Linked DNA regions of Macaca mulatta. The protein of the gene in region 1 interacts with the protein of each later gene in a pairwise test. Links are inferred from orthologs where the notes say so. Each region holds a gene or a part of one and is shown in the gene's direction. Other genes may lie near its edges. The genes, in order: FXR2, SYTL4, NDN, SRPK2, RALYL, BYSL and BAZ2B.

Region 1 (4,000 bases):
TACTATTCTTAAAACTTTCTTTCGTTTCTTTCTTTCTTTCTTTTTTTTTTTTTTTTTTTTTTTTTTGAGACGGAGTCTTGCTCTGTCGCCCAGGCTGGAGTGCAATGGCGCGATCTCGGCTCTCTGTAACTTCTACCTCCCAGGTTCAAGTGATTCTCCTGCCTCAGCCTCCCGAGTATCTGGGATTACAGGCGCGTGCTACCACGCCCGACTAATTTTTGTGTTTTATTAGATGCGGGGGTGGGGTGGTTCACCATATTGGCCACGCTGGTCTCGAACTCCTGACCTCAGGTGATCCGAGGACCTCAGGTGATCCACCCGCCTTGGCCTCCCAGAGTGCTGGCATTACAGGCGTGAGCCACCGCTCCTGGCCAAAACTTTCATTGTATCACAATCTCTTCAAGGCAAGAGCTATGACTTAAATCTACTACAGCACAGTTACAAATTCTTAAAAGATAGGCTATGCATGCGCGCAGACAGTAAAGCTCAGCGCGTGCGCACCGAGCACCTTTTTCCTTGCGGCGACTTCTCTTCTTTTTTTTTTTGGAGCGTGCGCACCAAGAAAGACAAAGGTGGGGAAAGTGACCAAGCAGTCGTTCAGGCGCATGCCCATCCCTAACTTGTCCGAGCCCGGTGGGGCAGGCGGCGGCGGCGTGGGTGTGGCCTGAGCGCTGTGTGACAGTGCGGCCGCCGCCCAATCGGACTGAGCGAGCCCGGCCCCTCCCTCCCTCTGATTGGTTGGTTCTCAGGGTTGTGGGGCGCGGAAAGGAAGAGACGGGGCTGCTGGGCGGTGGGGCGGTGGAGAAAGAAGGCTAATTTTGTTCTGCGCAAGCGCGAGAAAGCGACCAGGAGGGGGCGTGAGAGAGTGAAAGGGAATGTGGAAGCCCCGATGCGCTGGCTAGCGCTAGCTGGGGCTCTAACCTTGACGCCTGCGCCGTGGCCCTCGGGGCCCCGCGCGCAGCGGGCGGGTGCCCGGTGCGCCTGCGCAGTAGGAGGCGGTGGCAGGGGGAGGTGGAGGCTGTGGAGCGGCAGCGGCAGCAGCGGGTCCCGGGACTGAGGCAGCAGCGGGGGCGGCGGCAGGCGGAAGCTGAGGTGACGAAGGCAGCGGCGGCGGCGGCCGTTTCCCTCACGGTGGCGGAGACCAAGGCGGCGGCGGCGGACGGGGAGCGGCCCGGCCCCGGCCCCCTGCTCGTTGGCTGTGGCAGGGCCGCCGTGGGGCCGGCCCGGCTCCCGCCCCCCGCGGCTCCCCCTCCGGCTCCTCCTCCGGGGAGACGCCGGGGGCCTGGCCCGGCCCGCACTCAGACTGCTGCTGCAGCCGCCGCCGGGGGAGTCGGAGGCGGTGGCGGCGCCATGGGCGGCCTGGCCTCTGGGGGGGATGTGGAGCCGGGACTGCCCGTCGAGGTGCGCGGCTCCAACGGGGCCTTCTACAAGGTGAGACGGCGCGCCGACTGGGGACGCCGGTCCTTAGCCCCCTCCCCCGGCCGGAGCAGGAACGCGTGGGGCGGGATCGAGCTTCTGGAGCTGAGTCCTGGCCCTTAGAATCTTAGACCCTTGCTCCCACCCGCAGCCTTCCCTGAGAGACCTCTTGGAGTGAACCTGTTCCTTTTATTTTTGACCCCTTTAATGCACCTGCTTCTACCCCCATCTCAGGGAGAATGAACTTAAGGCCATTATTGTCCCTGGCTTGGCGCTCCCCGCTCCCCAGGAGAGACCCCTTTACCCAGCTTCTAATTGACTGTTTCCGTTGTCTGATGGAAGACATACCTTAGACCTTAATCACATCTTCCCCACGGTCCAGGCACATGGAGAATTGTCTTTCTTCTGCACGGTCCCCTTGGGAAGGCCCCCTCTGTCCCATATCGGATCCTTTCATCTTCCTCAGAGAGGCCTCTGCCTACTGACTCTGGAACACTCACCCCACTTTCAGCTTATATTCCGGTTCCCAAGCCAAGGAGAAATGGTCAGATCCATTTACGACGTTTGGCATCTTTGACCTCAGGAACCCTGGGTTGGATCAGTCAAGTTGCTTCTCAGCCAGCCATAAGGTGGCATCTTTCGCAAGTCTTTCACCCCACCACACCTTGATCTCAAGGCCCACTGGTTACCATTCTACTCAGAATGGATTTGAGGTCTCACTTAGACCTCAGATACCTTCAGGTCATTCTTAGAGTTTCTTCGTCTTGAGGCATGTGAGCTTCATAGTCATGATCTCTAAAAGGATCTCTAAAAGGAAGCTCATGGGGTTCCCTTCTGTTTTTCTTAAGATTTCCACTTCTTGAAGACTCTTGGCCAACTATCCCAGTTCGGGAATCTGACAACCTTTTTTGGAAGAAGGGATCATCTTTCAAAGACCTTTCCTTATTTGACCTCCCCCTTTGCCCAGGATTTGGTTCCTTAGAACTCCTTATAATACCACCTTCCTTATCTGCTCTGAATCCATTTTCTAGGACATTTTTTTCCCATTTGGATTAAGCCAGAGAGAACCCTTTCTTGCCTCCCAAGAGTTTTTCTTTGACTGTTGCTATTCTGAACCTCTTTTGGATTTGATGCCTGGAATTGTCCCAGAGACTCTCCTGATTTCTGTCTCATTCTTTGATTTCACCTTGGGGAGCTGTAGAAGAGATACCTTCCCATGGCATTACTTGTTAAGAGTAGATCCCCCTTCCCCCTTTCCTTCTGTTCCCCTCAGGCCTTTCCCCCCCACAGTAGCCCTCTCTAGTTTCTCATGCCCTTGGAAGTGTCTTTCTTTGACTCCTTCCCTAAGTCATATTTTCTGTAACTGTAGAGGGTCTTGTAATTTCCCTTGGGTGGTTTCTGCCTCTACTTCAGTTGCTAAGTTCATTGTAGTCTTTTTTTTTTTTTGAGACGGAGTCTGGCTCTGTCACCCAGGCTGGAGTGCAGTGGCACGATCTGGGCTCACTGCAAGCTCCGCCTCCCAGGTTTACACCATTCTCCTGTCTCAGCCTCCTGAGTAGCTGGGACTACAGGCACACACCACCACGCCCGGCTAGTTTTTTGTATTTTTAGTAGAGACGAGGTTTCACCGTGTTAGCCAGGATGGTCTTGATCTCCTGACCTTGTGATCTGCCCGCCTCAGCCTCCCAAAGTGCTGGGATTACAGGCGTGAGCCACCGCGCCATTGTAGTCATTTTTTACTTACTCTTCATACTTACCCATTTTTGCCTTACTTCCCTCATCAGATTTCTTTCTGTGCGGTGACTTTGGGTACCCATGTCTAACTTACTGTTTCAATTCAAGTTTTTGGCTTTTTCTCCTAATACTTCTGTATTCCTGTGTAATCCCCAGGGATCACCTAATTCCCTGTCTAGCTGAAGGAAGCTCCCTGCTGATCTCTTTTGTCATTTTCTGCATACTTGCCTAACTCTTGGGACTTTTTCTTCTAGCCTGCCTCCATAGCATTTCTGTTTTTTTTGGCAAAAGTCTCTAATTCCTTTCTGCTTTTGATAGAGCACATTTGTCTCTCATATCCTTTTCCCCAAACTTGTACTACCTTTGTTGAAATACGCTTCCTAAAGTGGCCCTCCCTGTTTCCCTCGGTATCTTTTCCTTCATCTGGGTCCTTACCACCCCAAAATTCTGAGTTCCAAGAAAAGTCATTCTTAAGTTGAGTCCAAGATCAAGATATGATGTTTGCTTTGTTCTAGGAAGCACAGGAGCCCTGCACAGCTGGGAAAGATTGGTATCCAGTTCAAATGAACTGTATGAGATGGCTGGGAAGGGACACGTTTTCTGTTCTACATATAAGTGTCCAGCAGAAAGTCTCTCTGAATCTTTTCCCTTTCTCCTGTGCGCTGTGGGCAATGATAGACTTGAGTACATCGGGACCAGGATACTCTGATTCAGAGAGTAGAGTCTGGGGTTGAGCTGAAAGCCAGGTAATGTGGTAATGTGGATCTGGGCAGGTTAGCATTTTCTGCCCCGTTCCTGAGTTAAAAACCACAAATCCCTAAATTCAGGCTAATCTTCCACTCTCAGTACC
Region 2 (3,500 bases), on another chromosome or scaffold:
GGGGCGTGGCCAGAGAGATCTGGAGGAATTGACATATAAGGAGAGACCTGAAGAAGGAGTAGATTGAGCCAGGTGAAAAAAAGTGGCCATTGTGAAAAGAATATCTTAGACAGATAAAAGAGGGAAGATGGAGAGCTTCAGGATATTCAGAGAAACAAAATAACTTTGTTTTTCTAAAATATAAAGCTTGAGGAGGAGTAGGGGGTGAAAGATGAGGCTGGAGAGGGTGAGCAGGGGCCAAATCATGAGGATTTTTTTTTTGCCATGCTAAGGAGTTTCAGCTAAATCCCAACAGCAATGGGGAACCACTGAAGAGTTTTAAAAGTATACTCAGGGCTGGGTGCGGTGGCTCATGCCTGTAATCCCAGTACTTTGGGAGGCCAAGGCGGGCGGATCACGAGGTCAGGAGATCGAGACCAACCTGGCTAACACGGTGAAACCGTGTCTCTACTAAAAATACAAAAAAATTAGCCGGGCATTGGGGGTGGGCACCTGTAGTCCCAGCTACTCTAGAAGCTGAAGCAGGAGAATGGCGTGAACCCAGGAGGCAGAGCTTGCAGTGAACCGAGATCGTGCCACTGCACTCCAGCCTGGGAGACACAGTGAGACTCTGTCTCAAAAAAAACCAAAAAACAAAAAAGTACCCAGCTGGGCACCATGGTACATGCCTGTACTCCCAGCTACTCAGAAGGCTGAGGCAGCAGGATTGCTTGAGCCTAGGAGTTAGAGACTGTTGTGCACTATGATGGTACCTGTGAATAGCCACAGTACTCCAGCCTGGGCAACATTGTGAGACCCTATTTCTTAATTTATTTATTTATTATATGTTTAAAGTATACTCATATTTATTTTAGAAAGATCACTCAGGCTACGATTGTGAATGGATTGGAAAGAGGCCTGACTAGAGGCAGGAGAACCTGCTTCCTTTCAATATTGGCTCTTGGTTTTTATTCTAGTGTGCTATTTGAAGTGCCAAAGCTGAAAAGTGGAAAGAGTGCATTGGAAGCTGAGAGTGAGAGTCTGGATAGCTTCACAGCTGACTCGGATAGCACCTCCAGGTGGGGTTCCCCCCATTTCCCTCATCTCCTCTAAACCCAAGTTGTGATTTTGTTCTGCATCATCAGTGTTCCTGACTTCTGTCCTCAGGAAGTTGAACGAAGTATTTTCTGTGTCCTCACCAGAAGTCTTTTAAGTAGCACGTCTACCTATTTGGCTCTGAGCACAGCTTCTTGGAACATATTGGCATCCCTAGTCAGTTCCCCCAGTACCTTGGAGTATTCTTCTTAGCCCAGTAGCAACTGATGCTGCTGTCCCTTAAGAATGAGGGTATGAGTGTTTGTGTTTGTGCAAAGTTGCCTCTCTGATCTTCTGCATTCCTCCCAGGTAAATCACATGCGAAGTGTATCTTCTGAATTTGGTTATTACGATGACCCAAGCCACTGGCTCTCCTTCCATAGAGCTTTGATTCCTGGGTAGAAGGGGAAGGGTAGGAGGTGACTTAGTTATAACTTCTGAATCTACCTCCAGGAGAGACTCTCTGGATAAATCTGGCCTCTTTCCAGAATGGAAGAAGATGTCTGCTCCCAAATCTCGAGTAGAAAAGGTAAGTTTCAGGTTATTGAGCCACCTTCCTTCCTCCCTTCCTTCCCTTCCTCCTTCACCTCCCTGTCTCCCTCCATCTTTCCCTCCCTCCCTCCCCCTCACTCTTCTCTTCCTCTTTCTTCCTTCCCTCCCTCCCTCCATTCTCTTAGGCAGAATTTAAATCAGGAATTTCAACTAAACAAATTTCAGTTCAGATTCATTTGGGAGCATTTTCTAAAGTTTTGGTTGAAATGTGTGAGAAAATAGGTTTTGTACTATTTCTAGGCATTTAATCTTTCCTTTAAGTTTGTCGTAGTTTAGCGAAAATCTGAGCCTTATTCTTCTTAAGACTGTCATTCCTTACTCACTCCTTCTTCCTATCCATCTGTCCTTTTCCATTTTCTTGCCCTTGTTCCTTCCTAGGAAACTCAGCCTGGAGGTCAAAATGTGGTATTTGTGGATGAGGGTGAGATGATATTTAAGAAGAACACCAGAAAAATCCTCAGGCCTTCAGGTAACTGGTTTTCCTTACTGGTCTTTTGAGACTGAAGTTCTGAGTACCCTTGATGGGCTCTTGGTATGAATAAGTCTCTTTGATTTGGCTTTTTTGGTCTTCCCCTCAGAGTACACTAAATCTGTGATAGATCTTCGCCCAGAAGATGTGGGACATGAAAGTGGCTCCTTGGGAGACAGAAGCAAATCCGTCCCAGGCCTCAATGTGGATATGGTAGGTGCCCTTATATTTTACTTGGTCACTACATGAAATTTTACTTATCTGGAGTTGGCTTTAGTACCTGATATTCTCAATCAACCTATTTAATTATTTAGGAAAAGGCAACATGAAACTTGATACCCCCAAGTTTCTAAAGGAAAGGACTGTCTTTGCTATCTCTTTTTTTTTCTGTTTTCTTTTTCTTTCTTTCTTTTTTTTTTTTTTTTTTTTGAGACGGAGTTTCGCTCTTGTTTCTCAGGCTGGAGTGCAATGGCATGATTTTGGCTCACTGCAACTTCCACCTCCTGGGTTCAAGCAATTCTCCTGTCTCACCTGAGTAGCTGGGATTACAGGTGTGCGCCACCATGCCCGGGTAATTTTTTGTATTTTTAGTAGAGATGGGGTTTCACCATGTTGGCCAGGTGACCCAGGCTGGTCGCAAACTCCTGACCTCAGGTGATCCACCTGCCTCGGCCTCCCAATTTTTTTTTTTTTTTTTTAAGAGAGAGCATCTCACTCTGTTGCCCAGACTGGAGTGTAGTAGCACAATTATAGCTCAGTGCCACCTTGAACTCCTGAGCTCAAGCTATCCTCCCACCTCAGCCTCCTGAGTAGCTGGGACTATAGGCGTGAACCATCATACCCGGCTACTTTTTTTTTTCTTTTTTTTTGAGAGATGGGGGTCTCACTGTGTTCCCAGCCTGGTCTGGAACTCCTGGGCTCAAGTGATCTACCCGCCTCTGCCTCTCAAAGTGCTGGAATTACAGACGTGAGCCACCACACCTGGCCATCTCTTTTATTTTCTAATAAATTGCTGGATATATGGCTGGGGCTCAAATAAATACTTCTTTTGATTAAAATGTAAAGAGGGTTGGGGAAAGTCAAATGGAAAAGAGTTATAGCTTCTATGAAAAACATTAAATATTCTTATCTTATTCTTTTGAGATATGAGAAGGATGGTTGGAATAGAGCTGGGAACCCTGAAATGGGAAGACATGTAAAAAGAAGGATATGAGGCCGGGCACGGTGGCTCACGCCTGTGATGTCAGCACTTTGGGAGGCCAAGGCAGGTGGATCACCTGAGGTCAGGAGTTCGAGACCAGCCTGGCCAACATGGAGAAACCCCGTTTATACTAAAAATACAAAAATTAGCCGGTTGTGGTGGCGGGTGCCTGTAATCTCAGCTACTCTGGAGGCTGCGGCAGGG
Region 3 (3,734 bases), on another chromosome or scaffold:
GGGAATGGCTCTGCCAAAAGTGTTATGTGCATGCAAACCCAAAGAGAGAGAGCACAGAAAACCCTTCAACATCAACCTGCTTGAGGAAAAATAAAGTGACAAGTGGGAAAAGATACATACTCACAGCGAGGACTCTAGACATGTTAAGACAATTTTTAAATGTGCTTTTGGCTTCGAGTGGCAATAATTAGACTCAACATATTTAAGAAGCTACTGATGAGAAGAAACGCTGGAAGCGCTGAAGGACCACATCAGCCCAGACCAAGGATGCTGAAGCAGCATCAAGGCCCTTGGTTTCAGAGGCTCCACCAATGACCCTTTTTTCAGGGAGACCCTGTAGGAGCGAGTTTTGTCTTTGCCCAGTGGGAATCTGTCTTCTATACTTAGAAAACAGGGTTACCCATGTTGCCCCTGCTACCCTTGGGTCATCTCAGAGACACTACCAGATATTACCTATGAGACCTAGTTGTTTTTTTTTAAATCTCAGGAAGGACTTGGGTGTGGCTTCCAACGTGGAGGACTCAGTAGCTTCAGAGAGGGTCCTGGGAGAAGGTGAATCGGAGAATAAGGGTGCTGGGCAGAGGGAAAAAGACATTATTATACAAGTTTGTGCTAAAAGATATAGCAATCCTTCTGCTGTGGACTAAGTATGGAAAAAAATAAAATGGAATCAAAGTGACCCAAAGGAAATGTAAAACTCAAATTTATGCCCACTAAAGCATTAATGATGCTCTAAGTCCGCTGCCTACTTAAAAGGTTCATAGTTCACATGGGTTGACAGGAAATTACGTTAAGGACACGCTGCATTTCTCCTTTTCTTACAACCCCTCTGATTTGGTAGGGAGGGAGTCAATCATTTTTTTATTGGAATTTCTCAGGATTCCAACTTCAGACATACACTTTACACATTTTCTTGGACAAGCCCGACTGTTCCTCTCACTCGTTCGCATAAAGCTCAAGTTTACACAGCCGCCCAGACCTTTCTCTGGGACGCTCATATTTAACTTAATTCTGGATATATCAGGTAAGCGTTTCCCAAGAAACTTGACCCCAACATCCCAAAAACTTAAGTTATCATCTTTCTCCTAAACTGGCCCCTTCTCCAGTACGCATCCATCGCACTCTTCTCCTGCCCTAGATCCCCTCAGCCCAAACGGGAAACCCCGGGATCGCTCTCTCCGCAGGTGAAGCTTAGCCAGGGACCCTCCCCGTCGGGGCTCCGCGCTGCCCCGCCCGCCCCCAGCCGCTGGCCAAGGCCGCAGTCGCGCAGGCGCAGTGCCGCGTCCCGCCGCCGCCCCGCCCTGCCCGCCGCTGCGGAAGGCGCCGCGCACAGCAACGCGCACTTCCTCTCCAGGAATCCGCGGAGGGAGCGCAGGCTTGAAGAGCTCCTGGACGCAGAGGCCCTGCCCTTGCCAGACGGCGCAGATATGTCAGAACAAAGTAAGGATCTAAGCGACCCTAACTTTGCAGCCGAGGCCCCCAGCTCCGAGGTGCACAGCAGCCCTGGGGTTCCGGAGGGGGTTCCTCCGTCCGAGACCCTGGCAGAGCCGCAGAGCCCTCCTTTAGGCCCGACGGCCGCCCCGCAGGCCGCGCAGCCTCCCCAGGCCCCGAGCGACGAGGACGACCCGAAGGCCCTGCAGCAGGCCGCGGAGGAGGGCCGCGCCCACCAGGCCCCGAGCGCGGCCCAGCCCGGCCCGGCCCCGCCAGCCCCGGCGCAGCTGGTGCAGAAGGCGCACGAGCTCATGTGGTACGTGCTGGTCAAGGACCAGAAGAAGATGATCATCTGGTTTCCAGACATGGTGAAAGATGTCATCGGCAGCTACAAGAAGTGGTGCAGGAGCATCCTCCGGCGCACCAGCCTCATCCTCGCCCGGGTGTTCGGGCTGCACCTGAGGCTAACCAGCCTGCACACCATGGAGTTTGCGCTGGTCAAAGCGCTGGAGCCCGAGGAGCTGGACAGGGTGGCGCTGAGCAACCGCATGCCCATGACAGGTCTCCTCCTCATGATCCTGAGCCTCATCTACGTGAAGGGCCGCGGCGCCAGAGAGAGCGCGGTCTGGAACGTGCTCCGCATCCTGGGGCTGCGGCCCTGGAAGAAGCACTCCACCTTCGGGGACGTGCGGAAGCTCATCACTGAGGAGTTCGTCCAGCAGAATTACCTGAAGTACCAGCGCGTCCCGTACGTGGAGCCGCCCGAGTACGAGTTCTTCTGGGGCTCCCGGGCCAGCCGCGAAATCACCAAGCTGCAAATCATGGAGTTCCTGGCCAGGGTCTTTAAGAAAGACCCCCAGGCCTGGCCCTCCCGATACAGAGAGGCTCTGGAGGAGGCCAGAGCTCTGCGGGAGGCTAATCCCGCTGCCCACTGCCCTCGCAGCAGTGTCTCCGAGGACTAGCCAAGTCTGGAGGCAGATGAATGCTTTCTGATCCTCACCAGGGCTGTGGAAGGGTGGGGGTGGGTCATTAGAGTGTTCAGGATTTACAGTGCAGTATTCACGTGTAACTTTTACGTTTTCAGTACAGTGCTTTTATACCTTTAATGCAATGTTGTGTTCATTTGGGTACTATTGTGTAGTATTTAGGATGTATGCATGTTTGTTTATATGTAAGCTTGGTTGGTGCTTTCGCTTTTGTGGTACCTTTCTTGGATTTTTGTATCAGAGACGTGCTAAACTGATGAAGTACATTGAGAACGTTTCCATCTTATTAATTTACATGGGACTGAGATGTGTGTTGGGGTAGACTGCTCCTGCAGAGTTTGGAAAAACTCACCAGCAAAGCCGGCCTAACCAAGAAATGTCAAGGCCCTCATGACCTTGCTGGGGACTGAAAACATCCTCGTGGAGTAAACTAATTTGAACTGGACTGGTCTCAATGTGAGAGCACTTGGCACACTTTACTAAACACATATACAACCCCACCGTGAGTCAACTTTAAAGTAAACATTAAAGATTCTTGTGATACAATCATTTCTGGAAGTGTACGTTATCATTTTAACAAAGCAGTATGGTTGGGAATGAGACAATTCTCTGTTTTACAGTATACACAGATATAACTATTTCCCCTAATGGGGTGGGAAAAATCGCTACTCATGATTACTCCTAAATTTGTGAAGTTTGTAGTTTTGTCTTTAACTCATGTTTATTTCAAAAACATGCACAAATATAGAAAAGCATAAAAAACAAAACAGTAAGATTGTCCATAATCACATCCTATGGGAATAAAAACCAAAAATAATTTCCTTCCCTTAAGTTTCTACATTTTATCAAAATTAATAGATGCTTTGTGGGCACTTAAAGAGTGAGACATTGTACATGAGCCCTGACGTGTATTTTTCTCCTTTTATCTAATCCTCACAACAGGCCTGTCAGGCAGGCAAGAACTGCCTCTGCACCATGGAGGAAACACAGGAATAATGTAGGTAATGGACTTTCCATAGCTCATACAGGTTAATAAGAGAAGGCGCTAGGACTAGAACTCACAATGAATCCAGAGTCCACATTTGTCCCCACCTGCCTTCAACTCCCCTACACCCTGTGGTTTTTAGGTTATTTATTTTTAACTTTATATTGAAATTTCATGTGGGAGCCCACACTCACATGGGTTCATGGGCCACACATACAAAAAGGCTAGGAATTTTATTTTTCTAATTCTTAGGATATTTTGGAGAAAGCAATATCATTCTGATTCTGCAAATTAAGAAACTTACTTTTGGAGAGATTAATTAACCTAATAAA
Region 4 (3,500 bases), on another chromosome or scaffold:
AGGCTAAGGCAGGTGGATCACTTGAGGCAAGGAGTTTGAGACCAGCCTGGCCAACATGGCAAAACCCCATCTCTACTGAAAATACACAGATTAGCTGGGCGTGGTGGCACGTGCCTGTAGTCCCAGCTACTCAGGTGGCTGAGGCAGGAGAATCGCTTGAACCCGGGAGGCGAAGGTTGTAGTGAGCCAAGATTGCACTGCTGCACTCCAGCCTGGGCAATAGAAGGTTATACTGGGAGTACCTGAGTTGAAGGCAGAGGTTTTTCATTGTAGTGTGCATTTGCTCTGCTGTACATGTTGTATTGTTAAGAGAATCTAGTCACTCTCCAAAGAACCAAAAACGGGTAGCATTACAGCCTGCATCTTCCTTCTTCCTTTAAAAAAAAAAAAATTATTTCGCCAGACGCGGTGGCTCACGCCTGTAATCCCAGCATGTTGGGAGGCTGAGGCAGGCAGATCACAAGGTCAGGAGATCGAGACCATCCTGGCTAACATGGTGAAACCCCATCTCTACTAAAAATACAAAAAATTAGCCAGACGTGGTGGGGGGCACCTGTAGTTCCAGCTACTCGGGAGGCTGAGGCAGGAGAACAGTGTGAACCTGGGAGGCGGAGCTTGCAGTGAGCTGAGATTGATTATGCAATTGCACTCCAGCCTGGGCGACAGAGCAAGACTCTGTCTCAAAAAAAAAAAAAAAGAAAAATTATTTCATTGATTGGCTTCTATACATGTTTTCTTGGAAATATAAGGGTGCTAATCAAAATGATCATTTTTTCAAAGAATACATAGCTGACATATTTTGGCGGTAAGAAATATGTACAAAGCTGGGCACAGTGTAGTGCGCCTGTAGTCCTAGCTTCTCTAGAGGCTGAGAAAGGATCATTGGAGCCCAACAGGTTGAGTCCAGCCTGGATAACATAGTGAGGTCCCATCTCAAAAAATATGAAAGGAAAAGAAATGGATGTGACCTGATCGAAGTCATTTTGAAAATTAATTAAAAGAGTTAGCATAGGGCTCAAGGCAGGGGTTGAAAAGCAGCTTGGAACTTGATCCAAGCTTTTCAAGTCCTCGTTGTCCCATTAGAGTTTTCAGATTTTTCTCTTAGCTTGTAAGATACTGAGTTGATTGTCTCCCAGGCTGGAAGGACTCTCCTGGCCATTAAGTGTGTAATCTAGTTGTTCCACTTGGATTTGGGGCCAATAATGAGGTTTTCCTGCCCTCACCTGGGATTGGCCCAGCTGTCTTTTTTGTTTATTGAGTGGAAAGGAGAGGCCCTACGTAAGGGCCTTCCTGCGTTTTCTGCTGGTGCCTTCGGGCATCCACAGTGCTGGGACCACCAGCTCACCATGCTGAGATGTGACGTGTCTGTGTCCTGCTCAGACCTATGCCAGGTTCAGGGCAGGATCCTGAGTTCATAAACTAATGCTTACCGCCTGGGCAGCTGGCAGTCATCTTGTCACCATGCTTCCTTCCTTCAACTGATTCACATGCAGTCTTTTTTTAAAAAAAAGGTGAAAAGATGTGGTCCTGGGCTGACTGTCCCACTCTTGGTTTGTTAAAGACAGTGCTAGGAGAGGTGCCCCCTCACCCAGGCAGGTGAGTCTTCCCTTAAGGGTTCCTTCCCAACACTGTGTGGTCATTGAAAGAAAAAGAAGGTAGGTTGATGCAGTGCAGTTGCCCCAGCATTGGCTCCTGGGGGCGGGAGTGGGGAGGGCAGTCACAGATCCACAGGCATCAGTGATTGGGCTTCTGAACACCTTTTGGGATAGCAAGATCCATTCAGAATAGAAGCAGCTATGAGAAAAACCAGAAATGGGATTTAGCTTATTCTTTTTTTCGCTTTTAAAACATACTCTTTGATCAGCAGAGCAGTAGCAGTTGCCATATTTATATATTGTTACCAGCTTAAACTCATGTTCTTGAGGGTTTTTTTGTGAGCAAGGGAAATGGGAACAAATGGCCTTCCCTACATACTGGCATGCTGAGGGACAGCCAGTGGCCACCCAGGAAGCCAGTGCTCCGTGACATCTACAAAAGGGTCTGCAAGGCCATCTGCGTCCTCTGGCCCTGGGGACAAAGAGGGTCTGTTTTGTTTCCAGGTTTTCCTTTGGTTGAATCAGAAGTGAATGAGATGATGATGAAAATAGATGATGAGATGCTGAAAATAGTCCTCGGTTACTAAAACATGAAGGTCTTTGCCTAAAGGACGCAGCAGTGTCTGCTATACAGAGGCCAAGGCTATTATAGTGGTTGAGGCAGGTGCTGGAGTCAGATGGGCTTGGTTGAGTCCTGGGTTGAACTCTCGTTCTACCGTTTATAGAGTGCATACTGTGCTTTGCCAGGCCTGCACACAGGTGCGGCTGAATCACTGACGTTTGGTTTTGCTTCCTGCAAAATGAACAGAATACATAGCTCTTATATCTTTCCTTAGAAGAAATGTAAAAATACTTCTGAAACTTCTTTGAATGTGGAAGAAAGAAAAAAATTAGTATTGAGCACTTTTGGGAGGCGATTTTGTTTGATTCAGATCTTCATAAAGTGGCGGTCTCTTCTGTAAGGAGAAAAAGCTGTTGACTTGGGGGCCAGTCTCTGAAGTGCTTAGCATGTCGTCTGTTGTATCCTAGGCATTTGAGCTGGCAACGGGAGATTATTTGTTTGAACCACATTCTGGGGAAGACTATTCCAGAGACGAAGGTGAGTATTAGTGCCTGCTGAATACCTCATTCTAGGTCTCCTGCCAGCCCTGAACTTCTGTAGAGTACTGTATTTTTGTACTGAAATAGAGCCATGTTTTTGGTTTTCAAACACCAAATTCAGATGCTTTTCCTTTGAGTTTGACGCCCCCTCAGTCTCAGTGAATGGGCAGAGCCTGCCTGGTACAGGCAGCACTCCAGTGAGCCCTCAGGGGCCTACACCAGCGGCTCTTCCTGGCCTTGCACAGGGCAGGAACCCAGCTGTCTGAGAGAGGACAGATGATACAGACCTGAAACCTCTCTGTGGTCCTTTCGACCATTGATGTGCTGCCCATTTCTCTGTCCTGTTTGGGAGCTGAGTTGAAAACCCAGGAATTCTGGCTTGAATTCCATCTGTAAACCTGACCATCTCCATGCTTATTTGCTTGCGATGCTGGGGTAGCCTGGGGTGAGCTGGCCTCAGTCACTGTTACTGCTCCTGGTGGTGCCTGAGGCCTGTCATTCCTACAAGCCTCTGCATGGATGTGCTGCAGACACTGTTGATTTGAATCTATTTCTGATTTTTTACTAATTTCAATTTTTCCCTCTTCTTTTATCCCATCCTTCCCTTTGCCCCTCCCATTCCCATATCCTTTTTTCTCTCCTCCATAGACCACATAGCCCACATCATAGAGCTGCTAGGCAGTATTCCAAGGCACTTTGCTCTATCTGGAAAATATTCTCGGGAATTCTTCAATCGCAGAGGTAGTACCTCTTCTTTTTGAAAAGCGCCACGATGCAGACAGAAACTGAAGAGCAGCTGCTGAT
Region 5 (4,043 bases), on another chromosome or scaffold:
TTTTTTGTTTTTTGTTTTTGTTTTTGTTTTTGTTTTTTTCTTTTTTTCCACTTCTTTGATTATTGTTTATATTTGGGAAAGCTGGAGGAGCATGATTTTGAGCCTTTTCCTGAATCCAAGTTTTTCTAGCATGCGATCGTTCTGTAGACAAGGCGCTGTGTCTCGGAGTCCGCGGCGACCGTGCCCGCTGGGAGCGTCTCCCAAGTCCAGCAAAATGTGCAACTGGTTTTATGGAAAAAGCGATGTGAAGTATGGTGCCTATTTTTTTCCTTTGTAAAAATAAAAAGCATGTTTCTAACTCTTTTTTTTGCATACTCTTTTTCTGATAACATTTTTGTATAGGTGGGATTTTACGGCAGTGTTTACAAGTTTGTGGTCTTGCAATACTGGTGCAAACCACTGAGCAAAGACATTAATTTTATATTTTTGTGCCCTTTTTGGAAGCCGGTGAGAACAAATTCGTTTTTTTCCCTCCTGTTTTTGATACCCATTGATAACATGAAACTTTTCTTACAGCTGGTGACTGGGATCATTTTTAAGCAAAATACTTTTTTCCTCCTTTAAATTAACTATGACTTTTGCACATTTGACTTTTTTAAAAAAACCGAGATAATTTTATGATAGATATCCTGATATCTATATCTATATTGTCCCTTATTTCTCCCCCTTCCCTCCCCGTAAATCAATTTTCAAATGATGGCAGTGGAAGGTTTTTCTGGAAAAAAAAAAAAAAAAAAAGAAGTGCGGTTTGGTTTCCTTGTCAACGGAGGATGAAGTGAACAGCTGAGCAGCTCGCAGAGAGCAGGTACTTGGTCCCCTTGGAGGCGTTTCCCGGGTGTGCAGTGGCAACACTGGTCCTAGCAAAGAAATGTGTGAGTGTGAGTGTGTGTGTGTGTGTGTGTGTTTGCGCGCGCGCATCTCCGGGCAGTGTCCGCGCCGGAGGTGGGGAGAGCCGCGCCGGGAGCCAGGGAAAACCAAAGTCAGTTCCCGGCTTCAGGATCGTTTTCTAGATGTGCACAAAATACAGTCCCCTCCCCCCACCCCCCACCGTGAGCTGCGCCCAGGTCATCTCCCGGCTGGGCGGGTGGTGTCTGCGCTGCGGGCGGCGCCGGCCGGGCACTAGGTGGCCAGCGGGCCCTGTAAGTTCTCCGAGGGCCACTTGCACAGCAGGAGGGGCGAGGGCCGTGTACGTGGCGCAGGCCGTCGGGCCGGCTAGAGGGGACCCCCAGAGCACCCGGGAGATGGGGGAAGAAGCGGCAGAGACCGCATCTTCCGGAGGGACTGGCTCCAGGCCACGCGGGCCGGAGCTCGAGACATTTCCAGAGCCTTGAGGATGGCACCGGCCCCCGCACGCTCAACTCCTGCTCCTCCTCTTCGCAATGAGTAAACGACGCAGTAGGTCTTTCCCAGCCTATTTTGCTTTTCCAAAGGGCTTTGCTTTCTTAGTGGTGCTGTCTTTGGATCTTTTCTTTATGCCTGTTGTGTTGCGTTGGTTTTAAGTGCCTGCTGGTGTCGTCTTCCAGGGAATGGGGAAATAGTTTCTTATAAGATGGTCACTTGGGTTTAATGTTGAGGACGACGCTGTTAGTTTGCAGTAATGACCCTACAGCTCTAAGGTATAAAAATGCCCCTTATTTAAATTTTATTAGAGGGAGAGTTTTCCCTCTTTTTAACCACCTAATACTGGCTCTAAAGGTTTTCCCCTGAGAACTGTGTACAGGGCAGGAGTGAGGGGTTAGTGATAGAGGTGATGATTTCGTGTGTTGGTAGCATTGAAATACTCAGTGTTGAATGTATTCTATTATATTTTATGATTATCCTGTTACATGTTTTCAATATAATTTAGCATTACTTTTCAGAGATGGACCAGTTCGCAATAAAAAGCCTTTTCTGTATTTAACACTGTGACAGAATCTGCTGGAAATTTTTCTGTCCAAATAAATTTCGTAAAGGCATACATCTTAAAATCTGGAGAGTCACCATTATTTAAATACTTTGATTTTCTTACCTTTCCCCCCCTTAAATGAAAAGCTTAGCTTTAAATTATCATGTGTATGTAGTTTGGATTCTGTAAAATAAACATAAGGCAAATGAAACAACTTTTTACCTCTCGGATGAAGTTTTCTTCTGGGTAACTACAGAAATAAAAACTGACTCCAGCATACAGAGGGGCCCATGACAAAGGGGTTTATAACATACACTGGCTTTTTCAAGCAAATATTTCACTGTCTGTAACCTCAGTTTGTGGAATGAAAAGTTTTATGCCTTATTTTTTACTCTTTGTGGTCAAAAAGTAAGGAGTGCAAAGGGCCATTTATCTGTAGAAGATTAAAAGTTAGTGTAATATCTGGAAAGCTATATATATTTTTTATTCACAACTCATGCAAGTATCTCAAAAGTCTTTGGACATTTCATTGTATGTGAGGTATTTTGTTCTCACAGTAGCTTTTCCCTGTGAAGGAAATCCTCTTGCGTTTATATAAAGAAGATAGTTTATGTCACTGTCTGTGGACACCATATTTGATATCTTGATGTGTATAGTTCTAAGATTTGAAGCCAATATGATGGCACTAAGCCTGAAATTAGGATTTTCTTATTTTGTATAGTGAGCTAATTACTAAAATATATGGTTCAAACAGCTAACATATGGTTCAAATAGCTAACATAAAACATTTAAAAAGCCATTTGCAACATTCTGTGATTTTAAAAATCATTTAAATTATAACAATGTATGTACATAGAAGTGCTTATTTATTAAAAAGCAAGACAATTTGTGTGTATAATATATTTTTGTATGTTTTATGTGTTGTATGTCGTTTAGTTCTTTTAAGAGAGAGAGAGACAGAGCAAGCAAGCAAGAAAGAGCTTGAGTGATCGAACCTGCATTTTCATTAAGAGTATCAGTTGCTGCCCTAAGGTAGAGGTAGTTTGTGTCTTAAGATTGGACAAAACACTAGCTGTATTGTATGATCTTTCCCAATGAGATTGAAACCATTAATGGGACCAAAGACGATTTTAATGTGAGGACAGACAGGTAGTTGGGCTTTAATTTCTGTAACTTAAGACCGTTCTAAGAACCTTTGGTTATCTATGTTTTCATTTATTTAAGATTCATTTTTGATTATATTGTATACTTGTATTACATTTGTGCCTATTACATTCAAAATTTTCAAATTTCTTCCTGTGTGAATCATACTGGGAATTCTACAACTCTTAAACTGGCCACCTGTTTAGTTTTTGATTTAAAATTGTTGAAGGTAGTATCCTACATTTAGCACCGCCTACTGGCTTCTCGTGGAAAAAATACATTTTTTCATTCGCCAAGAAACCCACAGGGATTTACATCAATTTAATTGTGCAGATCTTTTCAACTGCTTACTGAGAGAGAAGGAGGGAAAAAAAGTTTGTATGCTGTAAGGAGAGAGGGTTTCCAGGGTAAAGGCAGGGACCGAGGGAAAGAAGACCCACAAACTAAATTGGCATTGGATCACTATCTGACCTCAAACATTTTACTGTCTAAACTGTGACAAAGAAATAATCACAAAATGAAAACTATTAAATTTTCTAGGACTTTCTATGGGATAATAAAATGTGGGTATTGTTTAAAATCTTGGATTACTAAATTAATTTTACAGTGTCTTTCTCAATCGATATAAAGAAAGAAAGTTCTAGTTGGAATTCTGTCTTGAGTGTGTGGTCTGTCGAATAATATTTAAATGAATAACTTTTCATCATTGAAGATTAACAATTAATTATTTTTATATGTATTTTTCATGGACATAAACAATCACGTAGCACCCTAATTTTTTTCTTAACATGCATCAAATAGTCGCACTGTGTTGTTGTATATACAAGGGGGAAAAGTTCCAAACATACAATTATAAAGACACATCCTTAGCCATAATAGATGCGTTACCTTTCTTAAAAATGATAGTTGGTTTATTTTCTCTAATTTGTATGAAAGTCTAGTGGCTGAAAGAGCTACTATAATAATACAAACAAATGATGCCTTCAGAATATAAAAATTATTAATTAGAAAAATA
Region 6 (3,500 bases), on another chromosome or scaffold:
CCAATTAGAATGTAAGCTGTATAGAACAAAGTCTTTTGATTTCTCTTGTTCATGGATATATTGCCAGCACCCCCAACAGTGCCTCACATATAGTGTAGGTGCTCAGTGTTTGCTGAATGACTGGGTTAATGGGTAATGAATGATGGTCAGGTAGGTAGGAGCAAACTTGCAAAAGATTTAAAAACCATCCTTACAGCAATAGGAAGAATGGAAAGCTACTGGAGAATTTTAAGTATAGGGCTAATCAAATCAAATATGTGTTTCTGGAAGATTACCGTCTGCAGAGTGGAAAATGAGTTGGAGGGAAGCAAGGTCAGAAACATGGAGATGAGTGGGTGACTGTTGAATAAATCCAGGCAAGAAATGATGCTGATCTAGGCTTAGATGGGGCTGTGAAGCATGTGAGAGACAGTCTATGAGGTAAAATTGAATAGGATTTACTAATTGATTGGGTGTTGAGGGTGAGGGCAAGGGATGAGGCAGGAGCGCCTCCCAGGCTTAGCACTGGGTGGACAGTGGTACCATTTACTGAGCTGTGGATGGTTAGCATTATAGACCTAGGAGGGAAAGAAAATTAATATAGTTGATGACAGGTGAGATTTGAGGTGACTGTGAGTCATCCAAGAGCGGCTGTACAGGAGACACCTGGAGTTAGGGTCTGGCGCTAAGGAGAACCACCTACAAAGTACACATTTGGGAGATTGTTGGCACGTGGAGACAAAATGTCTGTTCCCCCTTAGCGTTTATCACATACTGCCACTGCCTTTGTTGTTAATGACCTATTGATACATAACATTATAGTTCCCCACTTGGATTATTAGCCCCCCTTTCCAGATGCCCAGACATGTAGCCTTCCAAAAATGGAAGTTATTTAAATGGACTACTTCATTTATTTTATTTATTTATTTATTTATTTATTTGAGACGGAGTCTTGCTCTGTCGCCCAGGCTGGAGTGCAGTGGCGCAGTCTTGGCTCACTGCAAGCTCCGCCTCCCGGATTCACGCCGTTCTCCTGCCTTAGCCTCCCGAGTAGCTGGGACTACAGGCGCCTGCCACCATGCCCAGCTAATTTTTTATATTTTCAGTAGAGACTGGGTTTCACTGTGTTAGCCAGGATGGTCTCGATCTCCTGACCTCATGATCCACTCGACTCAGCCTCCCAAAGTGCTGGGATTACAGGCGTGAGCCACCACACCCGGCCCTTTTTTTTTTTTTTTGAGATGGAGTCTTGCTCTTTGGCCAGGCTGGAGTGCAGTGGCGCGATCTCGGCTCACTGCAACCTCCAACTCCCTGGTTCAAGCGATTCTCCTGCCTCGGCCTCCCTCCCAAGTAGCTGGGATTACAGGCGCACGCCACCACGCCCAGCTAATTTTTTGTATTTTTAGTAGAGACAGGGCTTCTCCTTGTTGGTCAGGCTGGTCTCGAACTCCCGATCTCAGATGATCCACCCACTTCGGTCTTCCAAAGTGCTGGGATTACAGGCATGAACCACCATGCCCAGCCAACTTCATTTATTTAAATAGACTGGTGGATTGAAATCTGAACTCCACTGCCTGACTTTAAAGGCCCTCCAGTCTGGCTTCACCTTTCCCACCTACCTAGCATTATTTATTGCTATTGCCTAGGAGACACTTAAATCCGAAGCCTTATTTTCTCTGCGTCTGGAACACACTCCGCCTGCTCCCAAACTGCCCATCCAGCGTCTAACTGTCCTCGCCACTCATCCTCTAAGTGCATATGTCGTCTCTACCACTCATTGTGGCATATAATCAAACCCTAATATGTGTAGAATAGTGGTGAAGAATGCAGTCTAGATCCAGACTACCTGTCTTGGGCAAATTATCAACTTTTTGGTGCTTCAGTGTCCTCATCTGAAACTGGGTATAATAATAGTATCCGCGGCCGGGCGCGGTGGCTCAAGCCTGTAATCCCAGCACTTTGGGAGGCCGAGACGGGCGGATCACGAGGTCAGGAGATCGAGACCATCCTGGCTAACACGGTGAAACCCCGTCTCTACTAAAAAAAAATACAAAAAACTAGCTGGGCGAGGTGGCGGGCGCCTGTAGTCCCAGCTACTCGGGAGGCTGAGGCAGGAGAATGGCGTAAACCCGGGAGGTGGAGCTTGCAGTGAGCTGAGATCCGGCCACTGCACTCCAGCCTGGGCGACAGCAGACTCCGTCTCAAAAAAAAAAAATAATAATAATAATAGTATCCGCTTCTTGGGTTTATTTTTATTTATTTATTTATTTATTTATTTTTTAAGTTTTTGCCAATGTTCCGTAAGAAGGTTTATTTATTTTTTTTTAATTTTATGTATTTTTTTTTTTGCCAGCATCTCACTGTCGCCAGGCTGGAGTGCAGTGGCGTGACCTTGGCTCACTGCAACCTCCACCTCTTGGGTTCAAGCAGTTCTCCTGCCTCAACCTCCCAAGTAGCTGGGACTACAGGCACGCACCACCACACCCAGCTAATTTTTGTATTTTTAGTACAGACAGGGTTTCACCATGTTGACCAGGATGGTCTCAATCTCTTGACCTCATGATCCGCCCACCTCAGCCTCCCAAAGTGCTGGGATTACAGACGTGAGCCACCACGCCCTGCCACTTCTTGGGTTTGTAAGGATTAAACAGTTAACATGGGTACAGTGTTTAGAAGTTCCTTCTACAGGCACGGCGCGGTGGCTCACGCCTGTAATCCCAGCACTTTGGGAGGCCGAGGTGAGCGGGTCACTAGGGGTCAGGAGATCAAGACCAGCCTGGCCAATGTGGCGAAACCCCGACTCTACTAAAAATACAAAAAATTAACTGGGTGTGGTGGCGGGTGCCTGTAGTCCCAGCTACTTGGGAGGCTCAGGCAGGAGAATGGCATGAACCCAGGAGGCGGAGCTTGCAGTGAGCCGAGATTGCACCACTGCACTCCAGCCTGGGCGACAGAGTGAGACTCTATCTGAAAAAAAAAAAAAAAGAAGTTCCTTCTACATAACTGAGTATGGTATGTTAACTATTACTTATGGCCATTTCTTTCTCATTGTTTCCTGTGTATACGTTTTGTTTCTCAAGCATGATTGCAAGCCCCTGGGGACAGGGAGCTAATGCATGCCTCATTTGTTTCACTGCACATACCTGTGTCTATCACAACCACATGTGAGGCCTGTACTACATAATGACTAAAGTTAAACTGACTAAATCCCTCAGCTACCTTTTGCTGTGCTCATCCATTTAGTCTCCTCTCTTCTAGGTCCAAGAATGCCTCAGGATGGATCAGATGACGAGGATGAGGAGTGGCCCACCCTGGAGAAGGCTGCCACAATGACAGGGGTGGGCCACCATGCAGAGGTGGTCGTGGACCCTGAGGATGAGCGTGCCATAGAGATGTTCATGAACAAGAACCCTCCTGCCAGGTAGGTCTGGGGATTTGGGATAATGGGTGCTTGTAGAAAGTTCCCACAGGAAAACAAGTTCCCTGGCAGACTTACGATTCCCTACTTTAGGAAAGGGCCC
Region 7 (3,500 bases), on another chromosome or scaffold:
AAAATATAGATGTATACAGTAAAATATTTTGTTATTTTACTTATTTCATTCTCCTCTTGTCAATTTCTAGCTTTGCTTTCATTTACCACATACCAGTATGATAGCCTACTAATTTTAGATGAGTTTATTTATGTTTGTGAAACTTGATCTCGGTCTTTGAAAATTTTTACATAAAATCATAATCCTGATCCTTGGTGGTTTAGGTTAATTAAAAGACCTGGTAGTGTTTTTGACTATGGATATATATGGACATAGAAATTAAATCATCTTTAAATGTATGAGCCAGCTGTTGAAATTTTTCAGCATCCGAAAACTCATATTTTCAAAGTCAACAATTTAAAAAAGTTTTCTGAAACCTCTTTCTGTCCTGCTTCTCTAGCCATTTCTTTAATAACAAAATGAGAGGAAAGGTATATATTTTTACCTTGAATTGTATTTTCTTTAGAGAGAAAAACTGGTTATTCTGTCATTCAGACCTAAAAGAACAAAAAAGCCCCCTGCCTTATACAGTGTTTTATTGAAAACCATCTAAAAATAATGTATAAATTATAGAAATACACTAAATAATCCAAGTCATTAACATATACTTTTTAAAAGAAAACTTTCTAAACGATCAAGATTATTATCTCTATTAATGAATTTTTTATATTAACCAATTGAATTTTTTTAAAGGCACTTCCAAAAGAAGAAGAGTAACAGATGAACGTGAACTGCGTATTCCATTGGAATATGGGTATGCAAAATAAGGTTTCCCTTTTTCTTTTTCCCCCATATATTTATGCACGTTTGATGTATACTTGATTTCTTATTCTCTACAATTAATAAAAGAAGTACATAGCTGCATAGTATTTATTAGAGCGGAAGAGCCAGAGCAAAGGGCAAGGAATTTGGTATATCAGAAAACTGAAATTAATCCTGTTTCCTGGAGGTATGGCAGAGCTGGGGTGGGATGATACAGCCAAGTAGGAACATGACTGATAAAGAACCAAGAGCAAATCAGATGGCAAAGGGCAGGAGTACAGTGAGATTGTGAGAAGTTTTTGTGAAGATAGAATTAAAGGACAGTAAAAGCTACTTTGGTCAAAATTGAGGGACTCAACCAGAGTTTGGCTAAAATGGTTTAATTAGAAATGACAGCTTTTAGACTGAATGTACGTGAACCCCAACCAGCAGAGAGCCAGGTTTACTTTACTCCTCTGTTAAAGCTTTTCAGATGTAAAAATCACTATACGTTGACACGTTACTGAAATGTCAGAGTACCCAAAGTAATCAGTTACGATTTCTAAGCATTTTGATGGAGTTTAATATATAAATTGAATAATTAATTTTTTAGTTGAATTAGCTAGAAATCTAAATAATTTTGACAGTTAATATATTTGGGTTGTTTGAGGAGTTTTTGTTTTCATTTTTCATGTTTTCTAGAGAACATGTATACTTTAACTTATTTTTAATTTTTAAAAGCTGTCTTAAAATTAAGTATGTTATAACCTTCATTTCTGTTATGTGTAGCTGGCAGAGAGAGACAAGAATAAGAAACTTTGGAGGGCGCCTTCAAGGAGAAGTAGCATATTATGCTCCATGTGGAAAGAAACTTAGGCAGTACCCTGAAGTAATAAAGGTACATACTTTTCACCAAATAATGTACATTTGGTGCCTATTAAGCATGATCATGTACAAAAAAAAAGTGTACTCCTTTCTCAGATAAAGTTCCTTGATACTAAATATTCTCTTGTATGGGACTATTGTACTTAACCTAAATTTATCTCCTATAAATTTATAGCCCCTTGATAGAATATGCAAAACATTAGTGTCCTGAAGCTAGCTATACATCAAAGCTGGGTTGTAATTATTAAAACCTGAAGTGGAAAAATATGTGATTTTTTCAGTATCTCAGCAGAAATGGAATAATGGATATCTCAAGGGACAATTTCAGCTTCAGTGCAAAAATAAGAGTGGGTGACTTCTATGAAGCCAGAGATGGACCGCAGGTATCCACTTTTTAAAAAGTATAGTCTTTGAACCAAAAAGTAGTACCATAACCTAAATGAAGTAAATTTCACTACACTCTGGAGCATTGCCTTTCTTTAATTAGTTCATATGGCTATACATATAACTTTGTGGTAAGCACTCATTAAGGCCTCAATTAACTATGTTTCAGTAACAAGGAGCTTTGACATAATAGGTATCTTTTTCATAAATAAGTAAATTTTTTCTGTTTTTATTAATTCAACCAATAACTTTACAATTTATATAGGTATAAAAGCATCTGCATATTCATATGAAATATAGGAAAACATTAGTTTCCTGAAAAGTACAGCTAGTTTTAAAAACTAATTTGAATATGAAGACCCTATTATAATCAGTCAGTCCAAAAGAGGATATATATGTCCTAGTGTTTTGGAAGAATCTTGTCCATTTGATTATCCCACACTATATGTTGCATTTTCACAAGTTTGATAAGTTTTTTTGTCATTTCTTAAAACTAGGTGAATGAAATTTCTGGTTTTTGCAGAAATTCAGTTTTTACATTAATTGGTGCACATTTCTGAACATATCACCACAGCTCCCTTTGAGCTTATAGTGTTAAGTATACATCCTCACTAGTCAGCAAAAAGAACCCACCAAGGAGATCTCATTTCCTATATGTTTTCTTTAATGCTTTCTCTTTGTTCCTTAGTTGTATTCAGCTGCATGTGCTTATTATTCCCTTTAGCTGCATTGAAAGGGGTCCCAGTTAAGGAGTGATGAGACCTAGATTCTTGTTAATCTGTGAAATACTCTTGTAATTCTGAACAGTAACAAAATAGTGCCCACTTTGCCCACAACTTTGTTATCTGCCAAATAGAAACAATTTTAATATATATAAATATATTACACTTCTGTCTCATAGGATTATGGCAAGATTAAAATGAGATCATATGCATAACAATGTTTCAAAAAGGCTAAAATGCTCAGCCACCTAAAGTTGATATTTTCCTTCTTCATTGAACCTGTCTCTCTTCTGTCCCATCATAATGCATAGAAAAAATTTTTTTGCCAATTAATATTTTCTTTGTGAATAGGGAACTTTTCTATCCTATCTTACCCTTAAATTTTATGATTTAGAAATGGAAAAGGTCTCCCTCATTCTGTAAGAGGTTTATTTTGAGTTTGGAAGCTTAAAGGAGTTTTTTAAGGTCACACACAAGGCTGAGACATAACTAGAACTCAAGGTTTCTGAAAAAGTAATCTTTTGCATACATCATGTAACCTATTTTCTATTGTAGTCCATGACTTTTAAAGAAAGAAGTTATGTCCAGATCTACCTGTCTCTTTATTGGTAGTTCTAAAATGTCAAAATGTGTTTATCTGAGATTTATAGAAATATATGGAAATATATTCTAGGGTTTTCTATTTTTTTAAACAAAAAAAATTTTGACTTAGACTAAATCTGTCACCAGATTCTTAGAATTTTAATGAACCACAGTGTTACACATTCTATATACACTGCATCAGTTTTA

Evidence for each region.
Region 2: the proteins of FXR2 (region 1) and SYTL4 interact in binary tests that used the Homo sapiens proteins (3 or more experiments, as listed by UniProt). The two-hybrid records come from large-scale screens. The link is inferred for Macaca mulatta from reciprocal best matches to the Homo sapiens genes FXR2 and SYTL4.
Region 3: the proteins of FXR2 (region 1) and NDN interact in a two-hybrid assay, tested with the Homo sapiens proteins (2 studies listed by BioGRID and IntAct). The link is inferred for Macaca mulatta from reciprocal best matches to the Homo sapiens genes FXR2 and NDN.
Region 4: the proteins of FXR2 (region 1) and SRPK2 interact in binary tests that used the Homo sapiens proteins (3 or more experiments, as listed by UniProt). The link is inferred for Macaca mulatta from reciprocal best matches to the Homo sapiens genes FXR2 and SRPK2.
Region 5: the proteins of FXR2 (region 1) and RALYL interact in a two-hybrid assay, tested with the Homo sapiens proteins (2 studies listed by BioGRID and IntAct). The link is inferred for Macaca mulatta from reciprocal best matches to the Homo sapiens genes FXR2 and RALYL.
Region 6: the proteins of FXR2 (region 1) and BYSL interact in binary tests that used the Homo sapiens proteins (3 or more experiments, as listed by UniProt). The two-hybrid records come from large-scale screens. The link is inferred for Macaca mulatta from reciprocal best matches to the Homo sapiens genes FXR2 and BYSL.
Region 7: the proteins of FXR2 (region 1) and BAZ2B interact in binary tests that used the Homo sapiens proteins (3 or more experiments, as listed by UniProt). The two-hybrid records come from large-scale screens. The link is inferred for Macaca mulatta from reciprocal best matches to the Homo sapiens genes FXR2 and BAZ2B.

What each region holds. Positions count from the first base shown.
Region 1 is NC_133421.1:9,102,900-9,106,899, reverse strand, and holds the start of FXR2 (RNA-binding protein FXR2), read left to right. Parts: upstream 1-1,200; 5' UTR 1,201-1,350; coding exon 1,351-1,431; intron 1,432-1,764; exon of another isoform or gene 1,765-1,812; intron 1,813-4,000. UniProt on the Homo sapiens protein: mRNA-binding protein that acts as a regulator of mRNAs translation and/or stability, and which is required for adult hippocampal neurogenesis. Specifically binds to AU-rich elements (AREs) in the 3'-UTR of target mRNAs.
Region 2 is NC_133426.1:107,544,590-107,548,089, reverse strand, and holds part of SYTL4 (synaptotagmin-like protein 4), read left to right. Parts: intron 1-956; coding exon 957-1,058; intron 1,059-1,527; coding exon 1,528-1,603; intron 1,604-2,004; coding exon 2,005-2,095; intron 2,096-2,204; coding exon 2,205-2,308; coding exon of another isoform or gene 2,309-2,314; intron 2,315-3,500. UniProt on the Homo sapiens protein: Modulates exocytosis of dense-core granules and secretion of hormones in the pancreas and the pituitary. Interacts with vesicles containing negatively charged phospholipids in a Ca(2+)-independent manner.
Region 3 is NC_133412.1:6,264,488-6,268,221, forward strand, and holds NDN (necdin), read left to right. Parts: upstream 1-1,313; 5' UTR 1,314-1,427; coding exon 1,428-2,393; 3' UTR 2,394-3,234; downstream 3,235-3,734. UniProt on the Homo sapiens protein: Growth suppressor that facilitates the entry of the cell into cell cycle arrest.
Region 4 is NC_133408.1:144,711,940-144,715,439, reverse strand, and holds part of SRPK2 (SRSF protein kinase 2), read left to right. Parts: intron 1-2,624; coding exon 2,625-2,694; intron 2,695-3,344; coding exon 3,345-3,437; intron 3,438-3,500. UniProt on the Homo sapiens protein: Serine/arginine-rich protein-specific kinase which specifically phosphorylates its substrates at serine residues located in regions rich in arginine/serine dipeptides, known as RS domains and is involved in the phosphorylation of SR splicing factors and the regulation of splicing.
Region 5 is NC_133413.1:94,791,488-94,795,530, forward strand, and holds the start of RALYL (RNA-binding Raly-like protein), read left to right. Parts: upstream 1-1,243; 5' UTR 1,244-1,379; coding exon 1,380-1,395; intron 1,396-1,538; exon of another isoform or gene 1,539-1,616; intron 1,617-4,043.
Region 6 is NC_133409.1:140,247,021-140,250,520, reverse strand, and holds part of BYSL (bystin), read left to right. Parts: intron 1-3,237; coding exon 3,238-3,400; intron 3,401-3,500. UniProt on the Homo sapiens protein: Required for processing of 20S pre-rRNA precursor and biogenesis of 40S ribosomal subunits. May be required for trophinin-dependent regulation of cell adhesion during implantation of human embryos.
Region 7 is NC_133417.1:64,255,072-64,258,571, reverse strand, and holds part of BAZ2B (bromodomain adjacent to zinc finger domain protein 2B), read left to right. Parts: intron 1-672; coding exon 673-733; intron 734-1,509; coding exon 1,510-1,618; intron 1,619-1,886; coding exon 1,887-1,988; intron 1,989-3,500. UniProt on the Homo sapiens protein: Regulatory subunit of the ATP-dependent BRF-1 and BRF-5 ISWI chromatin remodeling complexes, which form ordered nucleosome arrays on chromatin and facilitate access to DNA during DNA-templated processes such as DNA replication, transcription, and repair.